Struthio camelus: one gene and its partners. The protein of the gene in region 1 purifies or fractionates together with the protein of each later gene. This does not show direct contact. Links are inferred from orthologs where the notes say so. Each region holds a gene or a part of one and is shown in the gene's direction. Other genes may lie near its edges. The genes, in order: CLSTN1, APBA2 and KLC1.

Evidence for each region.
Region 2: the proteins of CLSTN1 (region 1) and APBA2 purify together in Homo sapiens (affinity purification with western blotting; 3 studies listed by BioGRID and IntAct, with this or other methods). This does not show direct contact. The link is inferred for Struthio camelus from reciprocal best matches to the Homo sapiens genes CLSTN1 and APBA2.
Region 3: the proteins of CLSTN1 (region 1) and KLC1 purify together in Homo sapiens (co-immunoprecipitation; 3 studies listed by BioGRID and IntAct, with this or other methods). This does not show direct contact. The link is inferred for Struthio camelus from reciprocal best matches to the Homo sapiens genes CLSTN1 and KLC1.

What each region holds. Positions count from the first base shown.
Region 1 is NC_090962.1:5,752,477-5,761,058, reverse strand, and holds the start of CLSTN1 (calsyntenin-1), read left to right. Parts: upstream 1-5,152; 5' UTR 5,153-5,161; coding exon 5,162-5,264; intron 5,265-8,582. UniProt on the Homo sapiens protein: Postsynaptic adhesion molecule that binds to presynaptic neurexins to mediate both excitatory and inhibitory synapse formation.
Region 2 is NC_090953.1:18,938,668-18,946,797, reverse strand, and holds the start of APBA2 (amyloid-beta A4 precursor protein-binding family A member 2), read left to right. Parts: upstream 1-4,335; 5' UTR 4,336-4,436; intron 4,437-8,130. UniProt on the Homo sapiens protein: Putative function in synaptic vesicle exocytosis by binding to STXBP1, an essential component of the synaptic vesicle exocytotic machinery. May modulate processing of the amyloid-beta precursor protein (APP) and hence formation of APP-beta.
Region 3 is NC_090946.1:72,487,631-72,495,732, forward strand, and holds the start of KLC1 (kinesin light chain 1), read left to right. Parts: upstream 1-4,929; 5' UTR 4,930-5,285; intron 5,286-8,102. UniProt on the Homo sapiens protein: Kinesin is a microtubule-associated force-producing protein that may play a role in organelle transport. The light chain may function in coupling of cargo to the heavy chain or in the modulation of its ATPase activity.

The sequences.
Region 1 (8,582 bases):
TTTCAACCTTGTCACCAGTACTTGGTGCAAATATTTGAGTCTTTAGTTTATCTTGGTTTATCTAGCCATTCTTTCGGGCATGTATTATGTTTTCCGATAAGGAAATAAGGTAGGGATCAGTGACTGACCCAAAACAATCTGTGATAGGGCTGGAAAGAAGACCCAGGATTCTTCACTCTCCCTCCGCGTTAATCACTAGCTCAGTTTTCTACACAAATTAAGAAACTTTAAATTAAGAAAGCAGTTAATGTGGGTGTGGGCCACTGTGCTGCTATTCGGAATAGGTTAGCACAGCACATGAAGAAACAAGCCAGAAAGCAGGGATTCCTGTGGACACGCATTATGTAAAGCCTCATCTAGAGCACCTGACTTCAGCTCTTATTTTATTGAGTTAGGGGATGATTAGTAGAATAATTTATTTCTGTTATCTGTCTTCACTTGCTGTACTCTCTCCATCTTTGTCTTTAGTGGTGTTTTAATAAGCTTTACAACTAATTTCTTTATTGCTGTTCAAAGGCTGCTGTACAGTGGACGTCCTCCCAGAAGATATCAGAGCTTCAGCAGAGCCCACTACCCCTGGAAGTAAGGAGATGAATCTTTAAGAAACAGGTCCAGTTCCCTTCATACTCCTCTCTTATTTACATAATGCAGCTTAAAATAGTCATTGTGGTAACAGATGCAAAGACCTAAGTTCAGAAAGCCTAAATTTTCTTGAGGTCCCCAAGCTGAGTCCTGCTTTTTAGTGAAGCACTTAAAAGCTAGTCTGTCTCTGTCTGTATGTGCCTTAAGGTATTTCAAGGTATTATGGATATTTCTTCATTTTACCTATCCTCCCTGTGCCCTGCTTTCCTAAATATGCAAATGAAAAGACTGGAAATGCTGTCTTATTCAATTGTAATGCACCTGTCATCCCATCTAGACACCTGCCTTTCTACTTCACAGAAGTATTGTGAGAGTGCATTAATTAACGCTTGTAAAATGCTTGGAGATCCTAGGATGGAAGGTGCTAATGAGTTGTAAAATATTATAATTATGTTGCAGAATATTCAGTCTCTATAAGGAAAGATACTTACATCTTCATTGCTTTCATGTTTCCAGATGTGTATTTTGCAATAGCAGGTAAGTCTAAGCAGGAAAAATAAACAAACAAGGTAGGAAGATTGCTAATGCTGCTAGTTTTCTTGTGAGGAAACTAGTTTTTATGTACTTTTTTGCTTATTTAATTTTTTTCTCTCTCTGATGAACTCATGCTTCAATGGCTTGTTGAGAATTCTATGAACGTTGAGAAATGTCAGGGGAGAAGATTTTCTTCTTCGTCTTGCCAAGGCCTTCATTTGCATCCCCTAAATGAATTCTCACACATGATCAAAGCAGTTCTGGAAATGTTCAAGTGTGGGGGAAACCAGTCCTCTGATTCTTTCCATCCAACATATACAGTCAGGTTACATACATTGCAAAAAAAATAAAAAAAGAAAAAGAAAAAGAAAAAAGTCATCCAGTGGATCTAAAGACGCATGAATTTTATGCTGCTTTGTGTCCAGAGGATAGGAGCTGTATATTATGGACAGCAAGGCTATAAAAGACCTAGTTGGTTATCTGTTTATATTTTCTCATCAAGCTGGTAGGGGCATAGTTCTAGCGTTCTGTTGTGGAAACTTCTTTTGAATGACCTAGAAGATGCCATTTCTGCCTGTTCCCTTCTGAGGCTAATCTGTGGTTTCATAGATCTCATTGTGAAGAATTAATTTTTGATATTCACCTTGAATTACCTTTTCCTTAATATTATCCTGGTTCATTCTTCCTGCTTGACTCAGATAACTCATATCGGAACCGCAAAACTCTAGACTTCAAATTAGCAAAATACTTTTGGATTTTCCTATGGCTTTCTCTAGTGCGAAGGAGGGAGCTAGAGTGGAGCTGTAATACAGCTTCTCAGGAACCGGCTTGTGGTTGCCCTCGTCTACTGTTTCGCTTGGCTATGCATGCAGCTCTTATCACAGAGCTTAATTACTTTACACCATGGTGTCTCAGTGGCAATTTGTCCTGTTTCAGAAGTGGTCTCAGGTCAGCTGTGATGAAGCAAATACCTGGCAGGGGAGATAAAACTGGGTTCTACATTCTAACTTCCCATTAAAAGCAGTCATAGTCTGTAATCAAAATAGTAGGCAAGCATTAGTTGAAATCCAAGCCAGTTCTAGTCTGTTTGTTTAAAGATGGGACCCTTTCGCAAACCCAATTCTAGACTCTCTATTTAGAGACTGGACCCTTGCCCCAGAGCTGGGGCCTTTTAAACATATGTCCAAATCTCATATCTAGAAATAACAGTGCACATTCTGAGTATATGCTAATTATGAGTCTGAGCGCTAATGATCAGATCCAGATCTGTTGTTGACTAACTGGGCCAGTCTCGCTGCTCTCTCTGTGCATGAAATGCGCCAGCTTCCTTTAAGAAGCAAGCAGACAAAGGCATTCATTTTTACCTATCAGCTTATCTTTTCATTTCTGGCTGCTCAGCTCCACTCTGACAAGTGCAATAAATACGTGTCCTCCTGGGTCCTTGCAAGCTGGGCATTAGTCATGCTGTTCATTTCAAGGACATCAGTCCGCTAGTTTTTCAGCTGTAACAGAAAACATGTTCTGCCAGGAGCCATTTGTTCCAGCTTTGTTGCTTACTAATAAAATCAAAATCGATGATTTTTTTTTTTGTTTGAGCTTGAGAAGCAGGTCGGAGAGTAGGAGGACGATAGGTGGCAGAAATGAAGGTGCTGAAGTTAGTTTTCTATGAATTGCTCTGAAATAATGGCATGTGGCATTTCAGAGAAAGTGCCAATCTGTCAACTTGTGAAATGCAGTTACCTCTGGCAAACAGTATAGCTGTTGTTTAACAGCAAATAAGACTAGTGCATAGAAGGCTTCAAACTGGGTAATTTAATTTTTTTTATTATTATTAAGGATTTGGAGAGGATGTTGTATTTCACATACTTTCACAGTAAGTGCCAGTGGAACATCAGTGGTGACATAGGATCAGAATTTCAGAGTCTGATGTCTCCTCCACAGGTGGAGCGCCTATACTCTCTGTGTCCTCAGCCACTGGCCTGCTAGTTCAGTCCGCTTACTCATCTAACTGAACGAAATCATCTAACTGAACTCAAAATATATGCTAAAGAATTACTGGCTTTATTGATTCAGTGCCTTAGTCACAACTGACTCAGAGGAATGTTGCTCAGAGAGGTAACAGCAATCAAAGCCTTCTCCTTCCTTGGAAATCTCCCAGTTCCATCATGACCAATTCAGCTGATTCATTAATCTGAGCTGATAGTGTCATTGTGCAATAAATAAGGTTTACCTGGAAAGAACGTTTAATTTATTTAAAATGTCTCCCCTTCCTAGTTCTGCAGAATCAAAATCATTTAGATGAGTCCTCCTGGTAACACTGAAGTCCCCTACTTTCTGTGGTCATGGCAGTCTTCTTTCCCCCGCTATGGCGCATGATATAGCTCAAGTAGACTGCAGAGCAAATTCTGCTCTTTGAACACTGTTTTCCTGCCTTACTTAATAAGCCGAGGTGGTTCTCCAATTTAAATGTACAAAATACATTACTTTGCAGAAAGTACTTTAATGTGTGTGTGTATATGTGCCTGCTGGCCACTGACTAGCGAGCCCTTTTCAGGTACTTTTGCATTGACCTCCAAGCCTAGTACATAGTTATATTGCCTATCCAAATGCAGTATTTGGGCAAATAGGTTTGTGTTTTATCATGCATTGATCAATGGACAACCATCCTTTAACTGATGATCTTTTGCCTTGCAAGTCTTCACTCACGGGGTGGTTCTTGCTCAACGGTTCTTACTCGTGCATGAAGTCAGTAAGACTAGTCTGAGAGTCCTAGCGAGCTGGACAGCTCTTCTGCTCTCCAGACAAAAGCAAAATACGTAATGTAGCGTGCTGTCAGCTGAAGCTGCGTTGGCAGAACGCAAAGGCTCGGCTCTCTGGCAACAGATGGGCTAGAGGCTTCTTCTGACATGATCTGCCATCCAGCATATGTTAGACAGGCTGAGAAATCAAAGGGTTTTAGACTTGAGGCTTTACCTTTAAAAAAAAAAAAAAAAAGGAAGATGTCTTAGCTGTATTAAAGCAGGTGGCCTGCAGCGCCCAGGCCGTGAAATAAATAAATACGGAGGCAGCTGGTGGCTCGGTTCAGGGACCGCTACCTGGCACAGGATAGTAACTGGCGCACCGCTGCGCCATGTGTTGGAGCGTGATGCGTTTCTCTCCGGCTCCTGTTCCTGCTCTGCACGCCCCGTAGCAAAGCTTTTAAGAGGTAGCAAGTAAAGGCCATGGGTTTTCCGGGCGGAAAAAACTCTTTGGGGAGCGGAACAGATTGCTCTGCGTCTCGAATTATGAAAGTGGGTTGCGTTGGAGTTGTCCGAGCTCTCCTGAAGCCCTTGCCATCTTTGACCGAGGAGCAACTAGCTTTCCTGCCTCCGGGAGGAGCAGAGGGAGAAAGGGCGCTCGCAGGCAGGCGCAGGAGTTCCCCAAAGGGCCCTTATCCTGCTCCAAGAGAGTCCCCCCGCAAAAGACCCTTTACAAGGGTTTTATGGAGGTTTTAACGGGGATCTAGGGCTGCAGGCGCCTTCAGGGGCGTCCCCGCAGCAGCCCCCTGCGCAGGGGCGGCAGCAGGACCCCCCCCCCCCTTCCCGGCCGGTTGGGCCGGCGGCGGCGAAGCAAATCTCGGCCCGGATTTAATGGGTTTAATCCCCTGCGGGGCGGGCGGCACCCCCCTTCCCCCCCCCCGCGCAGTGGTTTCGCCCACCGCGCCGAGCCGCTCGGCTCCCCCGCAGGGCGCCGCCCCCCGCCCCTTGGTTCCTTCCCTCCTCCGCCTAGTAACGGTAGCAGCGCGGGGGGGGGGGGCGCCGCGCGCCGCCGCCATCTTAGGTGCCGCTGGCGCCGCGGGGCGGGCGGGAGGCGGAGAGAAACGGCGAGCGGAGCGGCGCGGCGCGGCGCGGCGCTTCCCCTCCCTCCGCCTCCGCCTCCTGCTCGGAGCCGAGCCGCGCCGCGCCGACCCGAGCCCCGCGCGCGGCGCAGAGCGGAGCCCGGACCAGCGGGGGCGCCGCAGCCGCCCCGCCAGCCGGGGCTCGGCGCTGCCCTGCACCGCGCTGCCATGCCGCCGCCGCGTCGCCCGGCGATGCCGCGCTCGCCGCCGGCCCCCGCCGCCCGCCTGCTGCTCGCCGCGCTGCTCTGCGCGGGGGCCGGGGCTGCTCGAGGTACGCGCGGGGTGGGGGGGGGAGCCGCGTCCTTTTGGGGGGGGGCGCCCCGCCGCGGCCGTTGCACCTGCGGCGATGGCGGCCGCTGCCCCCCCCCCCCCCCCCCGGCGCTCACCTGCGCCGCTTCCCCGCGCCGAGGCCCGGCGGCCCCGCGGCGGCGGCGGAGGCGCGTTACATAACGGCCCCCGCGGGAGCCTGGCGCCGCGGCCGCGGGCAGCCGCCCGCACTTGTTGCGGGGGGGGGGCGGACGCGCAGCCCGCCCTGTCCTAGACTGTCGGCCCGCCGCAAAGCCGCCTTCTGCGGGCGATCTGGGTGCGCTGCTGACACCCGTGACGGGGTTGTGGCTGGGCAGGGAGCTTTGATGGCCAGCCGAATTGGGGGGGGGGGGGTAAAGCACCTCGCAGGGCCCGTGGGGGAGCCTGACCTTCAGGCTTACATAAGGAATACTCGTTGGGTGGCTAACGATAGCGCCTAGCAGCGCTAAACCTGAAGCGATCCAGTGTCTTTAAATACCGGCCTTGTGGCTATTGATTGATCTGGCTGAGTAAAAGCATACGCATTGCAGGTCTCCTCCTGAGCAGGTTTCAGGAGAGGCTTGTCCCCGCTTCCTTACCTGAAGGTTACCCCTCGAATTGGGAATGCCTTTTCTGCGAGGTTTAGTTGGTCGCACGACGGGATTTGTGATCTTGTGTCTAATCTGAAGGTAGATTAGAACTGTCACTTTAAAATGGCTTGCAAATACAGCAAAATTCTTGCTCTTAGGAAAAAAAAAAAACATTTCATTGTGTTAAAGACGTATTTTGCTGCATTTTCCTTTCGTAGGATTATGAAACTGCTGCTATAATCAAGAAGTCTGCTAAACTGTTAGATGCTGTCCATAATTTACCCATACAAGATCTTTTTAAGTACAATTTTTTCATTAGTGTTCTTGGAACCAAAATTTGTAATTTAATGCTTACCAGAGCAGTACAGAAACAGAAGCTCATTGAATTGACAGGCTTTTCTTTTATTTGAAATTATGAATAGAACAGAGATCAAAAAAGATTTTTTCTTGAAGAAAGCTGATATGTCCCTGGAAGCGAATGGCAAGTTTACATAGCATTATACCAGACAGGTCTGTTGATCAGCTCTTTCGTCTGCAATTTGTTAGAAGCTGTACTTGTTTTCAGACTAATATACAGAGCTGCCGGCTGGAAGTCCTGTTCTGTTAAACTTCATTACATGTAACTGAGTTACAGTGTGAGGTTTGGCTTGGCTTGGCACGTGCAGTTAACTTAGTCCTCAGGATGTTTTGGCTACTGTGGGGTAGGCCTGTTTGTAACGTTACATGAAGATGCATTTTATATCCAAGTAGATGATGGAGATCACCTTGACTAAGGAAAGCTGCTAGAGCTACTCGCTTTCATTTGCCTGTTGTTACGAGAGAAGTCTTTCTGTTATTTGGAAGTCTTTATGGTAAATTTTCTGTTTTGTGTTGTATTGTCTATTCCGTTTCTTTCAGGTAAAGCTTTTTTTTATTATTTATTTTTCATCTATGGCTTTAAAAATCCTTGTTACTAAGGTCACTAAGATGCGTTTTAAGTAGCGAAAACTTCATTGTGCTTTGTTCAGTAGTGTGCAGAAATGGCCTAGAAAGACTAGACCAGAAGGGTCAGTTGCTCTCTCCAGTCCGGAGTATTTGCACGGTTAGAACAGGGGAGTGCAAAGTGGTTTCTTTTGTGGTGAAGGAAAGCAATGGAAATAACTTTTGGAGGGTGTGATCTTACAGAAATATTAGGTGAGATCTAGCTGATTTACCACTGTCTCGTACCCCTCGTATCTTCTCTGTAGTTATTTTGAGGGGGGCAAAGAGTGGTTTGAGGTTCTGAAGAAGTATATTCCTTTCCAGTTGAACTGATGCAAAAATCTTAGTTTAATTATACTTGTCATGTATTTGGTCAGGTTGAACAAAACGTTTCTAATCGTGTTTGACACGTCACAGTGGAAAAGCAGTAGTTAGCAGGGTACTGAAAGAGGGTTTGTCAGAGTGAAGTAATTGGGTGTTTATCAGCAGAGCTGAATGAGAGGTCCAATGGAGTGACTTTTCAGATGGAAGGGCAGTTTATATAATGGCTGATTCTTCCATGGTTACTGACTAGCTAGAGCATGACACTTTTTTTTGCCCTGGACCATTTCTGCCTTATTGTCATTTAGGTAGAATACAGATCAAAGCAGTAGTATCTTGAGGAAGCTTTGCTGATCTGTGATAATTTCAGGAAGTTCTCTGGTGGTATGAACGTCTCAAATCCAAACCACAAACCACTTTCTCACTACCACTGTTTTATTGCAGATGTTTATTTGAGACGGTGAGAGCCTTTGTAGTATGGGCCCGGTAGTTAGGTTTCTATTTCTTATTTAGAGGGAAGGAAGTATAAGATTATTCTAAAGCATTACAATTTTGTCCTGTTCTATTTTTTTTTTTTTCCTAAGGATTTTTGAGGGTAAGAGACCGCTGAAAAGAGAAGAGACACAAGTAACTGAGCGGAAAGCTTTAAATGTCATTTTCCTTGCCAGACCTTTCTATAATGCATAATGCTTAGGAGAGCATAGTATTGAGTCATCTGTTCAGATCAAATAACTAGTGAACAACATTAGTCTATTTTCCTATCCATTTGTAGGTGAAAAGACACAGTGCTATGGAAATTGAAATGGAGGAGAGGTGATATTCTGAGCAAGCATAGTTTACTTCGTGTGTTTGCAACATCATCGTGCCAGGTGTCTTCTCCCGTATTGTTAGACCGCAAGTTGTGCTGTCTTTGCCAAGTAATCAGGGAAATGTATCTATAGAAACTTTTTTTTTCCTAGACTCCTAAATATATCTTTGCTCTGAGGGCTTTATGTTTTTGCAGATTTGACTCATCAGTTTCAGATCTTTGGAAGGAATTTTTAAGAAGAATGGAAAGAGAAGCTAGGCAGATTTCCCATGAAAATTGGAAGGCTTGAAGTTAAACCCCGAACAAGTCACAGGACAGCCTAATGAGAGCATCTTATCTCAAGAGGTTTAAGTGGGAATTCTGAGTATTCTGGGTAAAGCAGCACTTTCTGCTATGGAAATCTAAATATCTGATAGTTTACTGGTTTATAGCTATGAAACTATTCTGCCGGGGTTGGGGGGGGAACGGTGCATAGTCGTTGACTTTCTGAACAAAAGCACTTTCTATGATCTTTGTGAGCCTTATCTCGCATGTGTGCAGTTATTTCTTCTATTTACTTGTGTTCAGTGAAATCACGATGAAATTTCATTGACGATATTGAGGGGCATCTGTCTTGTGGCATTAT
Region 2 (8,130 bases), on another chromosome or scaffold:
TCTAGACTTGGAACAAATAGCCAAAAGAACCAGACAGCTGAAGAAGCAATGCTAAGATGCACTGAGAGGAGTTTCCTTTTGTAGGCCTAACTTCTATAGATTTCAGTGGGAACAGGATCAGACCCTATTCTTTAGCTACAATTCTAGCCCTTAACCTTAAACAAGAGAGCCTTCACAGAAGCAATTCTCAGAAATTTATTATTTCAACTTTTTGAGGGGTTGGAGGTGGAGTTTAGACATAGCGGCGTGACTCACTCTCACCACCACGAGCATGCAAGGGGAATATAATCAAGAAAACTAGTGGAAATTCAAGGGTGCAGACAGGTGCAACAGACAACTGTGATTTGTTTCTATCAGTGAAGGGGCACTTGATGATATGCCCCTGTTGCACCAGTATACAACTTCTGGACGGAACAACTGTGACTCAAATAACTGGAGCCTGATTACCTTGGAAAGGAGTAAGGCTTTCAATATGCCTATCTGTTTTTGTTTGTGTTTTTTCCTTCAAAAAAGGTGCAATGTAACCTTATTTTCTGATAACGTTCTCCTTCACATTTTGTTTGATGTGGGCCTTTGGCAAGTTTCCAGTCTGAGCACAGTTTTCATTTAGACTTTGCAGTTCATCTTTGAAAAGGAAAGTCGAGCCAAAATATTCAGCATGCTTTGAAAAGGAAAGTGGAGCCAAAATGTATAGCATGCATTTGTTGTACTTTTGTAGCAAACGAAAGATGGTGCTAAGTAATGTCAGGCTTTCCAGAACACGAAGTATTAACATTTTGTCAGTAAATTTTGTCACGGTTGGGTCAAAGTTAGTTTCCTGTTCTAATCTCTCCATGTGTCCTTTTTCCCTCTGAGTTCAAACACGTTCCCATTTTATGCTGCTTGAGGCAGACGAGATACATTTTTCTATACTGCACCAGCATTACTCAGCCAGCTAAAGGGTTCATAATTAAATGATGCAAAATATCTTTTTCTGAATTCCTCTATGCTGCTCTCAAGTCTTCTAGCTGGGTGGAGGAGAATGGCTACAGGACGCATTTCATTCTGTATGATGAGACAAGCTTGGAAGCATGCTCAAAAGCTGAGAAAAGAACTAACAGGTGGAGAAGTCAGACTCCAGCACTGATAGGGAAAGCATTAGCTGAAATATTGGCCTGAAAGATCATTTTTTGCATCCACAGACCTGTTAATATTTATGTGATACAATAAACAACCCTTAGTTCGATTGGTTATTTTGTGTATCCATAAGCACTTCCTTTTGTATCTAGGTGTGAATGTCGGGAGCATTATTAGAACTGTGAAGCTCCTGAAGCAATAAGCCTAGGTAGATCATAGTGTAGGGTGTGGGTCACAAGATGGCTGAGCCAAATTAACCAGTCACTGACTGCAAAGGGAAGAGGTCCTACACTCCTTGCCCATTTCCATCTACGTGTCCCTGCTGCTCACACTGAGCTGGCTTGTCCGATCACACAGGGAAGTGATTCAGTTCACCAAAATGACAGAAAGTTAACGCAGAGTAAGTTGTTATTTAGAACTGTCACTTTCTTCTGAGGTGCACCTAAGTTGGGAATGACACTAAAGCGTGTTCTTGTATACATGCCTTTTAAAATCCAACCTTACGTTTTCGCAAGTCTGCCAAAACACTGGATCTCCCATGCTTATACTGCAATTAATTAATCTGAATTTAAGAAATCTCAAGATTTGATTCGGAGTTTAATTGCTTTCATTATTACCATATTTACCCAATGCATCATAAGCGTTAGAAGAACGTACTCTATCGTGACATGTAGCCAAGCTACAGTGATTAATACAGTTGTAAGCTTGACAATTTGGAAAGCTGTGAATGATTTACTGGAGGAACTGCTTCTGCCGACCACCTTTTGGAAAGATAATACCTCAGTATTTAATGCCGAGACTAGAGTTTACTTTCTTAATGCAAATGCAGAAGCACCGCTGTCTAGTGTTAAATATGTTCCTTGGATTGGGACTTTATTGCTAAAAAAAAGATTAACGGAAAGTGGTGTGATCAAGAAACTCTCACAGAAAGACCAGGGAACATGGGGATGTTCACAATATCTAATTTATGTACTTACAGTAAGCGCTTTGAATCATTCCCTTGGAGCTTCAGTTGATTCTCTCTGCCTAAGAACCTCTTCCTGTAGTGAGTTTGCTGTACTCGAGCACCTTTAATTAAGAGAAAAAGTTAGATTTACTTGCCTCAGAAAACACTCAATTATTTTACCAATGCAGTTGTCCTGCTGGACAAATTATTGAAGACTCTAAAATAGAAGAAATCCCTGAAATGGTAGCCATAGTATTTCTCATAAAGCTGCTGAGTGGCACTAGACACAGAAAGGTAACTAAGAATTTAAACCTGAAGCACAGATTCATGTGGGATGCAAGACTGTTAATATGTAAATAGGAACTAACAGCAATGTATAAATGCTAACACTACATTTTAAAATGGAAGTCCTCACCATTTTAGGACTGCAAAATCCTTTAACCTTTGATGGGTTAATCCCACTTCTGCCTCTGTGGAGGTCTTGTATGGAAAAGATTATTTCCAAAAATTGAAGATTAGTAGAAAAGAGCATTATTAGATTTAATATTAACGCACCTTATTTTTGCCTTCCATTTTGCTACGTCATTTCCTATAATAACCATCTGGCTTAGTCACCAAACGAGGTGGAGGAAGCATGCTTGTTGGGAACTTAAATAAGAAGCCCCTATAAGTCCACTTACTTTGGAACCACTGTGGTCTTTGAGAGGTCAGCCGCAGCAGCTTCAGGAAACAAACACTTACCTTCCCGATCAAGCTGGGAATACTGCTCTTGGTGTATTGATCGAGAAAGTGAAAACTTCCTTATGTACCTGAGGCTATTTCATTAAGTTAATAGTTTTGAGAATTTATAATATGAATCTCGCAAACGTTTAAACACAAACAATGAAACACAATCTTTCAAATGTTCATACAACCCAGCTATAGATGATTTATAACTCCCTGCATTAGCGTGCAGCATACCTACAGTTTATGCAGTATCTGAGTTTTCATCATCTTCAAAAAAGAACCCAAATCAGTCAAGTAATTAGGATAGAGATAGACGAGAAAGGTAATCGTAGAAAGCTGTAACAGAAAACAGCAACCTTAAAATGGCTACTGGGTAGCAGGCATTTCTATTACGTAATAGAAATCTTTACAACAAAACGAAAACCAAGAATAAAGACGCCCCAGGCTGGTGTTTCTACCAACGGCCTTTGCACGTACACGGAATTTGAGGCGGCGCTAAGCAAGGGGCACAGCTAGCCCAGGGCAAACCGAAGCGCACCAGGTTGGATGCGCAGTGATTACAATGAACATTGAGATCTAGCTGATGGGAATGCAATATAATTAAATTAAAATGACTTTTCACTCTTGCTGTCATAAGAACAACATGATTACTTTTTACGCTCAACCATAAGAATAGCTAGAAGTCTGAAATTCGCATGCTTATGAGCAAATCCTGCCATAATTTGGTTTAAGAGTACTTGATCTCACACATGCTCCTTTACATACAAAGCAATCACCCTTGCAGGAGGTTCAACAGAAAGATCTAGTAGCATCGAATACAAGGCCTGAGGAACCAACTATGTTTATCATTCACCCTAAGAGCAACTCTCGCACTTCAGTGAGCTTTTAAATATTATATAGAGAGCATCTTCCACTTTCAACCTCTACGTGGGGCAAACACTGTGGTTAGCACTTGTTAAGTCCGATGCCGTGGCAGCACGTGCCCGTTGCGGAAGCCGCGCTGCGCCCAGCCGCAACGCCAACCCCTTCTTGCTTGGAGGGCTGCGGGGGCAGCTCCAGCGAGGCCAACGCCGGGCACCGCCACCTGCCCTGCAGCCGGCCCTCCCCGGGCCCGGCCGACGTCGGCTCGGGGCTGCCACACCAGCCTCTCCACATCCACCCCCAGAGCACACCCACCACCTCAAAGCACCCCCACCGCTCCCTCGCCCCCGCGCCATTTTGTGCGAGGCTCGAAGGCCGGTGGGGGCACGGCCAGGGGCGCGTCCCGCAGCCGCCATTTTGCCCGCACCTCTCCCACCGCCGCGAGCGGGCCGGGCGGGACCCCCGCCTCAGGCTGGCGGCCGGCGGGGAGAGCGGGCTGAGCCGCGAGGGCGCGGGCGCCCCCGCCGGGGCCGAGGCCGGGGCCGAGGCCGGGGCCGGAACCGAAGCGAGGCGAGGCGAGGCGAGGCGGGAGCCGGCGGCCGCCCCGCGCCCCGGAGGGCGGCTATGCGCCATGCAGGTTCCCGGGCGGGCGCCGCGATTGTGGCACGCAGCTTCCCGGGCGCGGCCGCCGTCGCGGTGTGTGGCGCCGAGGCAGGCACACAAAAGAGCGGCTGCCGCTGCCCGCCGCTCCGCCGGCTGCGGCACCGGCCCCGCCGCTGCCAGCAGGGTAAGGAGCGGCGGCCGGGCGGTGTCATCCCCGCGGGGGAGGGAGGCAGGGAGCGGGCGGGCGGGCGGACGGACGGACGGACACCCCGCGGGGCTCCGCAGGGCGGCGGGCGCTGTGGGGGCGCCGCCGCCCCCTCCCCTCCCCCTCCCGCGGCCGTTGCGCCCCTCACACGCGGGCGCGGGGCGAGGGCAGCCAGGGGCCGCGGGCGCGGAGCTGCTGTTCTGCCTCGCCGTCGTGGGGAGGAAGCGGGGGGCGGCGGTGCCGCTGTCCGTGCCCGGTGCCGGCGCCGCGTCAGGGGGCCGGAGGCTGAGGGGTTAACGCGCCTTCCCAGAGCCCAGGGAGCTGCGTGAGGAGCCCTCCCGCAGCGCAGCACCGCCAAGAGTTTGTGTCTGCCCCTGATTTACCGTGCCGCCAGGGCGGCAAACGGAGCGGAGCTTCTGATCCCCCCCCCCCCCCCCACTTCATAATGAGATCTGGAGGGAAAAAGCTACTCGATTAAAAATTCGGCACTTCGTTTTCCTTCAGATGAACGGCACAAAACATTAGAACATGGTTTGGTTTCCCCTTTTGGAGACTGGTGCCCCTTTCATTTATGTATTTGTTTATTTATTTTGCATTGCCGTAACAAAAGGGGTCGGGGAGCCTGGGGAGCTGGATGCTGGAGGGGCGAGGACTGCCTGGTGGCGGTCGTCGTGCCTCGGCCCGCGGACTGCGCTTTCGCACGCCTGCGGTCCGGTCCACTTCCTCGGCGCCCTTCTGATGCGTGTCGCATGGCAGCGAGGGCGTGAAAGGAAAGAAATTTCAATAAAGATGCAAGAGATTATGCAGCGTACATAGTACGGCAATAAGATGTGGTGCACTGATTTTTAAGAAAAGTCTTAAATTGCTATAGTCTTTTGGGGTTAAAAAAATACAAATAGTGTTTCAGTTATATTACCTTGTCAAAACCACCATATAATCTCACAGGGGTGGGAAATCTGTTTGCAGACAAGGTTTTTCATGTATTATTATACCTGCTACCCAAGAATTCCTCCTTATTTAACCAGCAGAACTGTATATGTAAAGAACAGAAGAAACTGCTATTTTAGCTTTGTGTGGCTGTGTATAGGCAATACTATTTCCACATAAGGTGACTTTTAAGAGGGAGGAATTCTAGTGTAATTGTTTATTGCCATTTTAGGAAGTAAAAATTCAGTATGTGCTGATTATTTGTATGTTGAACTGATTTAAAGCGTAACACTGAAATTTATATAGTCCAGGTTCCCCTCAGTAAGGGGCAGACAGGGAGGAAAGAGCTTTTCCTTCCATACGTGGTGCTACGGGTACCAAACCACTGCGGGGGAAGTCGCTGTCCTCTGCTGTACGCTGCTTTGGGCTCCTCGGCTCTCAGGCTGAGGACCTGTTCTTGTAAACCTTGATTCTGTCAGGCTTCCTAAACCTAAATTCTCTAGTGGTTTAGCCCTTCTCTGCTCTTGGAAGTCTCTAGAGCTATTTTTAAAAATCCAGTGTTGCCTGTCATCAGTAGCCACGTTATTGCTTCCCTTTGATCCTCTGATCTTAAAGAATAAGGCTCTATAAAAGGCCATGGCTGCCCAGCTCTTTTGGTCAAAGTCTTATGAGTCTAAGGAAGAATCCTGAAGAATCCTCAGGCTAGGGACTGAGTAGATGGAGAGCAGCACTGCTGAGGAGGCCCTGGGGTCCTGGTGGACAGCAAACTGCACGTGAGCAAGTCCAAGTAGGCCAACAGCATCCTACGTTGTATGAAGCTAGTAGACTGAGGGAAGTGATTATCCCTCCTTACTCAACACTTATAGACTGTGCCTGTAAAACTGTGTCCCGTTTTGGCCCCCTCAGTTCAAGAAAGATTGATAAACTGGAGTGAGATCAGTCGAGGGCCACCAAGCTGGCCAGGGCTGGAGCACAGGCCCGATGAGGAGAGGCCGAGGGTGCAGGGCTTGCTCAGCCCGGAGAAGGGGAGGCTTTGGGGGACCCAACAACAGCTCCCCGGTATCTACAGGATCATCAGGAAGGCAGAGCCAGGCTACTCACAGTAGTGCATAGCAGGAAAATGAGAAACAGCAGGCATATGTCCATTCTGAAGCTCTCTTGCTTCAACATAAGGAGAAACTTTTCCCCTGCAACAGTCAAGCAAGAGAATGGGTTGTCCAGAAAGCTTATGCAGCCTCTTTCATTGGAGGTTTTTAAGACCAGACTGGATAAAACCCTGAGCAACCTGGTCAGTTGACCCTGATTTGAGCAGGAGGTTGGATAGAGACCTCTGGAGGTCCCTTCCAACCTGAATTATCTTATGAGCCTATGAACAGTTGCAAGTTTGTGCTCATCCTTAAGTGATCTAAGAAGCAGGCATGTTTCCAGAAGTCAGAGTTTTTTAGAAAGGAGTAGAACTTCCATCCTAAAACTATTGCATTTCAGCAAAGACAGAATGTAGATGTTAGTATGCTATACCAGCCAACTGCTATTACCTGTGTGGGTAAACTAATATATTACTCCTGATTGTAGGAAGAGCTATTTGGTTAGCATATTTGTATTTTAATGCAGATATAAACAAAAGCAAGAACCTACTTCTTGCAAGCAAGGACCTTTCTTAAGTAATGTCTTTCAGAGCTCCTGTGAGGCAAATAAAGCATTGCAACATTAATACAAGAAGCATATTAGTAGTTCTTATAGCTGGGGAAAATAAAGCACTGATACAGTCACATGCACATCACAGGGTAAGAGGAAGAGCTTGAAGCAGAATCAGAAATCACTAATTCTTAGACATTCCACCAAACATGTGATTGCTGAGTTGAGCATTCATTATGAATACCTTAGGTATTTGCAAATGCTTTTATTCTACTGAGGAAGAATTAAAATATGGTGATCTGACTTGTGTGGTGTGGTTTTTGTGGTTTTGTTTTGTGTGGTGGTGGTGGTGTTTTTTTTTTTTTCTTTCCGTTCCTGAGGACCCATTTACCCTGGAGAGCTGGTTGAAGCGTTCAGTGCTTTAGACTTGTCCTGCGTGTGGGAGCAGAATGTACAGCACTCAAACTTTTTGTCATGGCATCTGTGAGGACATTTTTTCCAAGTCTCACTTTTATCTAAAACTTAAGTCTCATCTTGGCTAATAGTATTGTTTTCCAGAAAAAAGAGTCTTCTACAACTGGTAAAAGCAGTTAAGGAATAAGCTATTTCCTTCTAGTGCCAGTGGGTAAATGCACTGTATCATCTGAGTGCACCATATTTCTTTTTGGCTGCAGTACTTATTGCCTTCATTCACCTACTGCAGCAGAGGAGGGTAACTCACACTTCAAGAGGACTAAGTTAGAGCTGAGCAGGGGTGCTATGGAAAACTGTAGGGTTGATAGATATTTCCACCTAGGAGAAGGAGGAAAAACCAGAAGCCCTATAGGGAGAACAAGGAAAAAGTATTATCATTCTTAGATAATAAGGTTGAGTGAGATACCGCTAAAGGTGCATACTCTGAAGTATACTCATGCATGAAGGGATCGTTTTCTTTTGAACTAGAGGTAGATGAAGAGGAAAGGACAAGTTGGCAAAAAGGGATACAGGAAGTCTTCAAAAGGATAAGTGTTTCAAGCATAACCGGTGTGAGGTTTGGGGTCTAGATAAGGATGTTCAAATAGCAGCGCTTCTGCAGTGCTGACATCCACTGATCCCCACCTGGACTCCCGCT
Region 3 (8,102 bases), on another chromosome or scaffold:
ATGAAATTACCCAAGTTTTACACTGCTGTGTAACTAAAATTAAAATCTAGCGTGGCATTTTTGAAAGACTAGGGGAAAGCAATTTTTGTAGTGAAACTCAGGAGAATTTCATCAGAACTGGCACCTAATATAAAGCCACCTTCCTCATGCAGAAATCCCTACAATTGCTACCAGTATTATCAAATAAGAGCCTTACCTGATCTTATTGCATGTAATCTGGCAGCCAAACCTGATGAGTTAGCAAACCTCCATAGAAGAATGCTGACAAGCCGTATAGGTAACAAACACCTGGTGTTCAGAGGAAGAGAAAGGAAGGGGAGAACATATGTAGTAATAATGCAGGCACTTAGAACTACTGTATCATACACTGAATGTTCTTACTCTAGTAGTGGCTAAGATTAACACGGTATTGCACCAATAGGGTGTTAACGTTGATTTCATCTAAAGGCTTTAATACAGTGTCTGCAATGGTTCAGTGACGGAGTAAGTGGAAAAGGGAGAGTACAGAGAAGGAACGGAGGAGAGTACACAGTGGTATGTTTCCGGATGTATAAGCACTAAAAGTCATACAGAATGAATGTGGAGAAGAGATCCTTTCCAAGATAGGAAGGTGTTGGTGGTTAATATAGTAAAAGTGGTACTGACTACAGACCATGGAAGCAGACAAGGAAGAAAGTTTCTTCATCTTTGAATGAAATGAAAGGTATGGCAGAAGCAAAAAAAGAACAGAAATTGCTAGTGGGGTGAAATAAGTATGAACAGGTGTGAGCGGTCCCTCAGAGGTGGGAACCTACTCCTTGGATGCAGGGAGTGAAGATACAAGTCAAGGGGTTTGTAGAGGAGAGCTTCTGACGATAACTAAACTGTTAGACGTTCTACCGTTTGAAGTATCTTGGGAAATACTGACAGTGTCTGTAAATTCATATAGCACAGAATATTATGGGTTGTCCAACGGCACAATTCTCAGGAAATCCTTGATCATTTAATACTTTGCACATCATAGAGGAAACGAGGATATAGAAACGTAGCTGTGTTGCTGAAATTGTCTACTATTTTTCTTTATGTTCATACAGTAATATTGACATGCAAGTTGTCTAACAGTTTCTAGCATTCATCTGGTTACTTTAACTGAATTAGTTGAGGATTTTTAGTCTGTTTTTTATGATAGAAATGTTTTAGAGCTAACTGAAAGGCTTTCCAAAACATTCCAGTGTCCTTTGAACTTTAATAATGCTGCTATGTAATAGCTATGAAATGAAGGGAATTTGGGGTAGCAAAATGTTAATGTCCACAGCAAGCATCCTGCTCTGCTTAAAAGAGTAACAGAAATTAACTAATGAAATGACCTTGTGAACTTTAATTACATTGCATGATCTTCTTGTTATTTAACAATAGGGCAGGGGAAATAGAAGAGAGGGTAGAAAAGGGCAGGGAGAAGCACACTACCTTTCATTTCTTGCAGCTTTTTAGACATCCTTGTGGCTAAGGAAAATTAACTTGCATGTAAATGAAGCATATTGTCTTGGGGAGTAGGATCGTGAGCAGTGTTTATTTTACTTAGTACTTTAATGCTATGTCCAACAGTGGGTTCCCTATGGTAAGTTCAGGCACCTGGAGTATAATAATGAATCATGTCAAAATACAGTCCTTTTACTCCAAAGTGCTCGAGCTCCATAATAACAAGGTAGTTCTGCGTGCATTAATTGCACATAAGCACAAAGGAGTTAGACTAAAACTGTGTGGAACCACGTACTTGACGCTTTTGACTCTTAAACAGTGATTTTTGTTTGCTGTTTTCCGTATGGGAAATTCTTTTATGAAATATGAATTCTTTGTAAAGAATATAAATTAGCTTATGCAACTGTCAAGTGATCATGATGAAAAACCAGACAGGTTCCTGAATCTGGCCTTTCGGTATTTATTGTTGCCAGGATGCTTTTACATAGCATTTTAGCAGTGGTTGAATTTATTCCAATTTAGTGCTTTATGGCAGCCCATATTTATAAAATGAAATCATGGATTTTATAGACGGTAGGATTAGATTTAAAAAAAAAAAAACTTTTGTCTCCTTCTTCTAGGAGGGAAGATGCTCTAAATCTAAAATTATTTTTTTGAATGACAATGGTAAAATAAAACATCGCATGCTTCCTAAATGAAGTGAACATGAATTTCTTTGTAGAAGCTTCCTCTGACTGGATGTCAGTCAAACTGAACTTGGGAGTTTGCTGTGTGTATTTCTCACATTGTTACGTTACCTCAAAACGTAAGAGTTTTGTGTTGTATTAGCTTTACTGCTTGCTTTTTTCCTCCCACTGTGAATTACAAACCTTCTTTTGGGAGAGGAGAGAAATGGGTATATTGAGGGAAAAAGAATCTGGCAGTGTAAATAACATGTTTTGGGGTTTTAATATCCACTGAGATGTCTGCAGAAAACCACAGTGACTTTGTGGCAGATAAAGACTATTCTAGAGACAGCAAGTCTAGATCACTTCATCCTAAAAGCAGGGCAAATAGGATAACTAACTCCTTAAGAGAAGATGCAAATGTGGGGCAATATTACAGTTTTACTGCTGGAAGAACTTAGATAATTCTTACGTAGATTGGACAGGAAAAACAAGATCCAACTGAAGAGAAACTCTTATGGTACTTGCAGTCAGGCAGAAGCTTGAGGAAGAAGCAGGCTGACGAAGTCTCTTTTGCCTCTGCTCTTCTACTGCGTGCCATAAACAGAGGGGAGTAATACCACGCTTTAGTTCCATTGAACTGATCAACCTTCCTGCACCGGGGAGCTTATAGCGTGTGCTACTTATGCAAGAAATTGCAAGCATACTTCATTAGCCTGCATATTATGAATCAGGGTCATCGCTGGAGTAGTTGCTTTGTTCAGAGATGCTCAGAGATCCCTGGGGTAAGCAACTAATTACAGAAAATCTTGTAAAGTATATGTGTGATAGGAAGAAAGTAATGAATATTGTTTATTTAAAAGATAGGCGTGGTTCCTTTGAATCAGTTCTCTTGCATAATTATGTAATTAGGACGTTCTATTTTTAATTAAATCTCTTGCATATTCATGAAAACGCTGAACTTGTGGACCCACAGGCATGATTCTTATTTTTAAAATGTAGTTTGTATAAAGGAATGCCTTTCAATTCCTTTTTTTTCCCCTTTTCACATTACTGTCCAAACACCTATTTCACAGTATTATACATAGTTAGGCTGGCCTATCCCCTGACTTTCCTGTCCAAGCTGCCCTGTGATGATAAACCACACAAAATTATCAGAGGAATGTTATTTTAAATGGAGATGAGAAACACAAAAAGCTGCTGCTCTGAAGTACATGTATCACAACTGTTTTTGCTAGAAAGCTCGATCTCTGTAAGATGTGAATCAGCAGTATTCTGGAAGTATACTTCAGTTCCCTCAGCTTTTCAGATCCAACAGTAATTCTCTGTCCTTGCAGTCTGTAGACAATCCACTTCCCCCCAAACTTTATGTTGTTCCTCATAGGCTTCTGTGAACTGTCTTTTCCTGTTCTACTTCTTTGACGACAGCATTAGCTTTGATTCCTTTTCCGTCTTCCTGCTTCTTCTTAGTCTTGCTTTCTCACCTCATTCTTGTTCTCACATCTGCCATCTTCTAGATGTGTTCAGTGTTACATGTGAAGGCAAATAACACGTAAGCAGAGCTTTCCTTTTATATTGTAAGGTATACCACTTAGATGACACATTTTGATTTAGCACTATACCTCCGCATGGTTCCATAAGTTAATGATTCATACCTGTATCTCCTGTAGGAGTTACATGTATGGTGCTCAGGCAGGCAATACGCCCCATAATAGTCTGTCTAGACTCTAATAACTCTTTCATAAAGTTGGGCTGTCACTGTTCCCTGATGATTCCTAATGTACATTTTACTGTTGTGTCATATCTTTAATCCCAAACCCCGGCTCCTTCCATCTTCCTTCATTTCTGGGATGGACTTCTACTGAACAGAATATAAAGCAATATGGAGAAAATCTTGTGACCAGTCTCTCCTCTTTTGAGAGAATGGGAGTGAAATGAGACACTGCAAGGAAATGCAGTTCTTGGTGTCACTAAAAGTTATGATGAAACTCTTGTTTTTCCTTTTATGAATAAACCTATAGAACAATAGGGATCTTTTATTATGTTCAATGCGCACCTAAGACAAGGGTGTGGAAACGTATTAGCAGCCCGTGAATCCTGGGAGGGGACCCAGCCTCCATAGCATTTGTACTTCAGCCTCGGCTGTCCTTTGTGTGACCTGTACATCGACTGCAAGCTGCCTGCGTGCTGCAGCTCCTTTAATGCGCCTTTGTTCCAGAGGTGCTTGAGAAGGGACCACGGGCTTTTTATGTCCTATTGTCAGCCTTATAGCAAAACAAAATTCCAGAACGTCTTTCCAGGGCATACAAAACCATAAACATGGGAAATACCCGCACCCTACCTAGGGACAACACCAAGGCTGGGTCACCTGAGCGTGCGCTTAGCAAACGTCGGGTTTTGCTCGTGACAGCAGCACCTTTCACGCACACGCGCCCTTCCCCCCCGTCCGGCGAGGGGGCACGGCCTAGGCCCGTCTGCCCCGACACGGCCTCGCACCTGAGCCCTTGAAGGCCTTGGCTCAGCATCTTCCCTGCGCGGCGCCGGGCAGGGAGGGGCGCCGGGCGCGGCTGCCCAAGGCGGCCGGGGCCGGGGCGGCCGTTGGACTCGCACTCGCCTCGCGGGCGGCCGTTACCCGCCGCGCGCGGGGGGGGGGGCGGGGGGGCGGATGACATCATAGACCGTGTCGGGGGGAGGTTCTAGAAAGAAGGGCGCGCGGGGGACTGTGGGAGAAGGAGTGGGGGCGCCGCCATGTTGCGCGGGGCGGGGCGACGGGCTGCGGAGGCGGCGGGGCGGGCAGAGGGGCGGCGGGGGCGGCGGCGGCGGGGGCTGCCTGCAGCTGTCAGCGCCCGCGCCTCGGAGGCAGGGCCCCGCGCCGACCTCCGCGGCCGTCGGGTCGGGCCGGGCCGGGCCTGTCAGTGCCTCTCAGGCCTTCGGAGCGGCCGCGGTGCCGACCCGCTTCCTTCGCTTCTCTCTCTCGTTCTCTCTCTTTTCTCCCGCCCCCCCCCCCAAAAAAAAAAAAAAAACACCCTTTTCCTTCCTCCCTTCCGCCCGCCCATCGCTGACATCCTCCTCCGGCCGCCTCTTCTCCGCCCCCGCGGGCTGCGCGGCCCCCGCCGCCTCTGCGAGCGCTGCGCACATCGCCCGAGCCTGCAGCACCGAGCGGTGAGTGAGGGGCGCGCCAGCCTCTGACAGCGAGCGGCGGGGCGGGGGGCAGCCGGGGGCTTCGGGGCTTTTTATCTGCGCCTTCCTGTCTGCCGTTAGGCAGAAACAACAAAAGGTTGGGCTGGCCGGCTGGTCGCCTGCAGCTCCGGCTGACAGCCGGCCCGTTTCGTGTGCGGTGGGTTGGGTTTTTTGGGTAGGTGGGTGGGGGGGAGGCGAAGGGGAGGATGTTTCCCCGTGTTTTATCTAAAGCTCTGTTAGTTGTAATCACCCGTGGGGAGCGCAGCGCTGGGGGGGAGGAGGAGGCGCCCCCACCCCCACGGCAGGGATGTGATCGGCTTCGCTTTGTCCCCTTGCTGGCGTCGGTCCGCGCTGCAGCCCGGGCCGGGCGCCGCCCAGGGAGGGGACCGCGGGCAGGGCGGGGCGGCGGGAGGGGGCGCCGCTTCGCCCGGCTTCCCGGCTGGCGGGCCAGCGGCCGCGCGCCGGTTTTACTTTATTGTGCCTAGTAAGCTAGTCGTTGCTAATTCTGAAATGGTGAAAGAGGAGTTCGGGAAGACAGCTTGGGTTTCGCAGTGACCAGATTTATAACGTTATAGGGCACCAACCCATGCTACGGTCTCAGACGATTCTCAGACTTTGATCTTGACCCAGGAGATATCTACAGTTCCAAAATAATGAAGGAAAACGTAGATTATGAATGCTTAATTTTAGCGAAATAACATTAATACATTACTGACTTTATTGATGTCTATCGTTTGCCTAGACGTTAATTAGAAAGACTTCTAAAAATCTTTCTCTTTTTGGCTTTTTGTTTTTAATATTGTTAGATAACAAAACGTCTGATCTGTAAATCTGCACAGCAGTTGTGTACAGTCACAAGAAAGGACTTCTTGATTCTTTAATGAATGCTTTGTTCTAAGGGTATTGGAGTATGTTTTAATGATCAAAGCAGCATCACCTAAATTAATGCTGCTAACTGGCTTTTTGAAGGCTAAGTCAATTATGATGCTTTTTTTTTTTTTTTCTTGTTAATCATTTCCTACAGTGTTTATTACTTAAATGTAACAATGGTAGTCAAATACTGAATATGGAACCAGAATACAGAATCAGAAAGTAAGGCCAACTAGCAAAAAGTGAAAGGTTGTTTTCATGGCTTACTTTGAACAGCAAAAATGTGAGCAAATGTCGCTCCTGATATTATTTTATATCACAGTTAAACATAAAATTGTATTAAATGAGAACTTATTTTAAAATATAATTTCGGAGTTCTTGCTGTTGGCCGAAGGCACAGTAACAATTACCCTAGGAAGTAATTGTCTCTTTCTCTTCCCCTTTTGTATTTGCACTGCACTTAAATAGGAAACTTATGCTCAGAGGGTGTGCATTGGAAAGCTAAAAAGGAACCTTCAAGATTTAGATGGTTAAGCATTTTAACTGAACAGATCTTTTTAAATTCAGCATTGAATTTTGATTTCTTTTGGAAAATAGCTTTATTTTAATTGATTATGAATTCCAAAGCTTCACTGAAACATAGTAGAGGATAATATAACCCTCGGATTATAGCTATAATTGAAAGTAACACATTCAGCATTTACTGGCAGCAGTGAGAAAACTGATCCATTTGGTGATTCTAAGCAAAAGGCCTTGTATTTTGTAAGCCAATTAAACAATTTTTTTTTTTTTTCGGTGAGCACATGGTTTAATAACGCATTTCTATGAAATCATTAAAAATGTGGAAATCTCTAGCTGTTCTCTTTGGATATGCTTTTTGTATTATGCAGAACCATGTGAGGAAATGCAGAGAATAGATATTGTCAGTTCTCAGAGTCACACAAGAATGCAGTATCACTTCTGCATCATGTTGCAGTTAAAGTTTGGCAACCTTTCTCCTTCCAAAGGATGATGATTGGGCTAAACAAATCCATTAATGAGAAATTTGAACAGCAGTTGGGTTTAAATTCCATTCATTTTATCATAAAAGTGCCATCGTATGTAATTAAAAAAGAGAATGAAAGAGTTATGTCTACCTCCCTAAAACTGTCTTGAAATTGTCTCATTTACTGTTCATCACGTTACTGTGAGATGGTAAAAGTGGCCTAATAATGGAAAATGATTTAAAAAAAAAAAAAGTAAGTCTTTTTTGGCAAAAGAGGAATTGCACACTAAACTGCAAATGGAGTTTGCAGGAGTCCAGAATAGGATCTACTGAATGCTTTCTGACATAAAAGAATCGAGAATAACGCTCAAGAATGCTGTATGTGATATAAGAGCAGTTGCTGCTTGCCCTGCTTATGAGGAACTTTCTTTGATGATACCGGAAAACCCTCACTTGTGTGCTATTTTTATGCCCTACACCTCTCTCTCTCTCTATATGTCTTTGTACGTGTATCTGTATACATATACACACATATTTATGTCTGTTATTTCGCTGGGAGTGTAGGGAAGTACTGTATCTCCATATTGAGTTCTGAGTCCATTTAATGCAGCTTCTGTTTCTCTTGAGACTTGTGGACTTGTGCAGTTACTCTTCCATCTCTTCCTCTGCTTGGCTTCTGTGGCAGACAAATGCAACTGAGTTTATTGTAGGGTTAACAGCATATCTGCAGATGCATAGTTTATGATTGTTTTAAAACTTAATTCGCTGTACAAATAATTACAAAAATAGTATTTCTTTAAGAGGAGTGGAAAGCAAGCAAGTTCAGGCAAATAAGCATAATATATTCTTTATTTTAAAGAGTCATGGTAGCAGACAGTGATGAGCACAAGCGTGCTAAGCCAATTTAAATAGACGCTTTATAGTCTGTCTGCCTCAAGGTAATG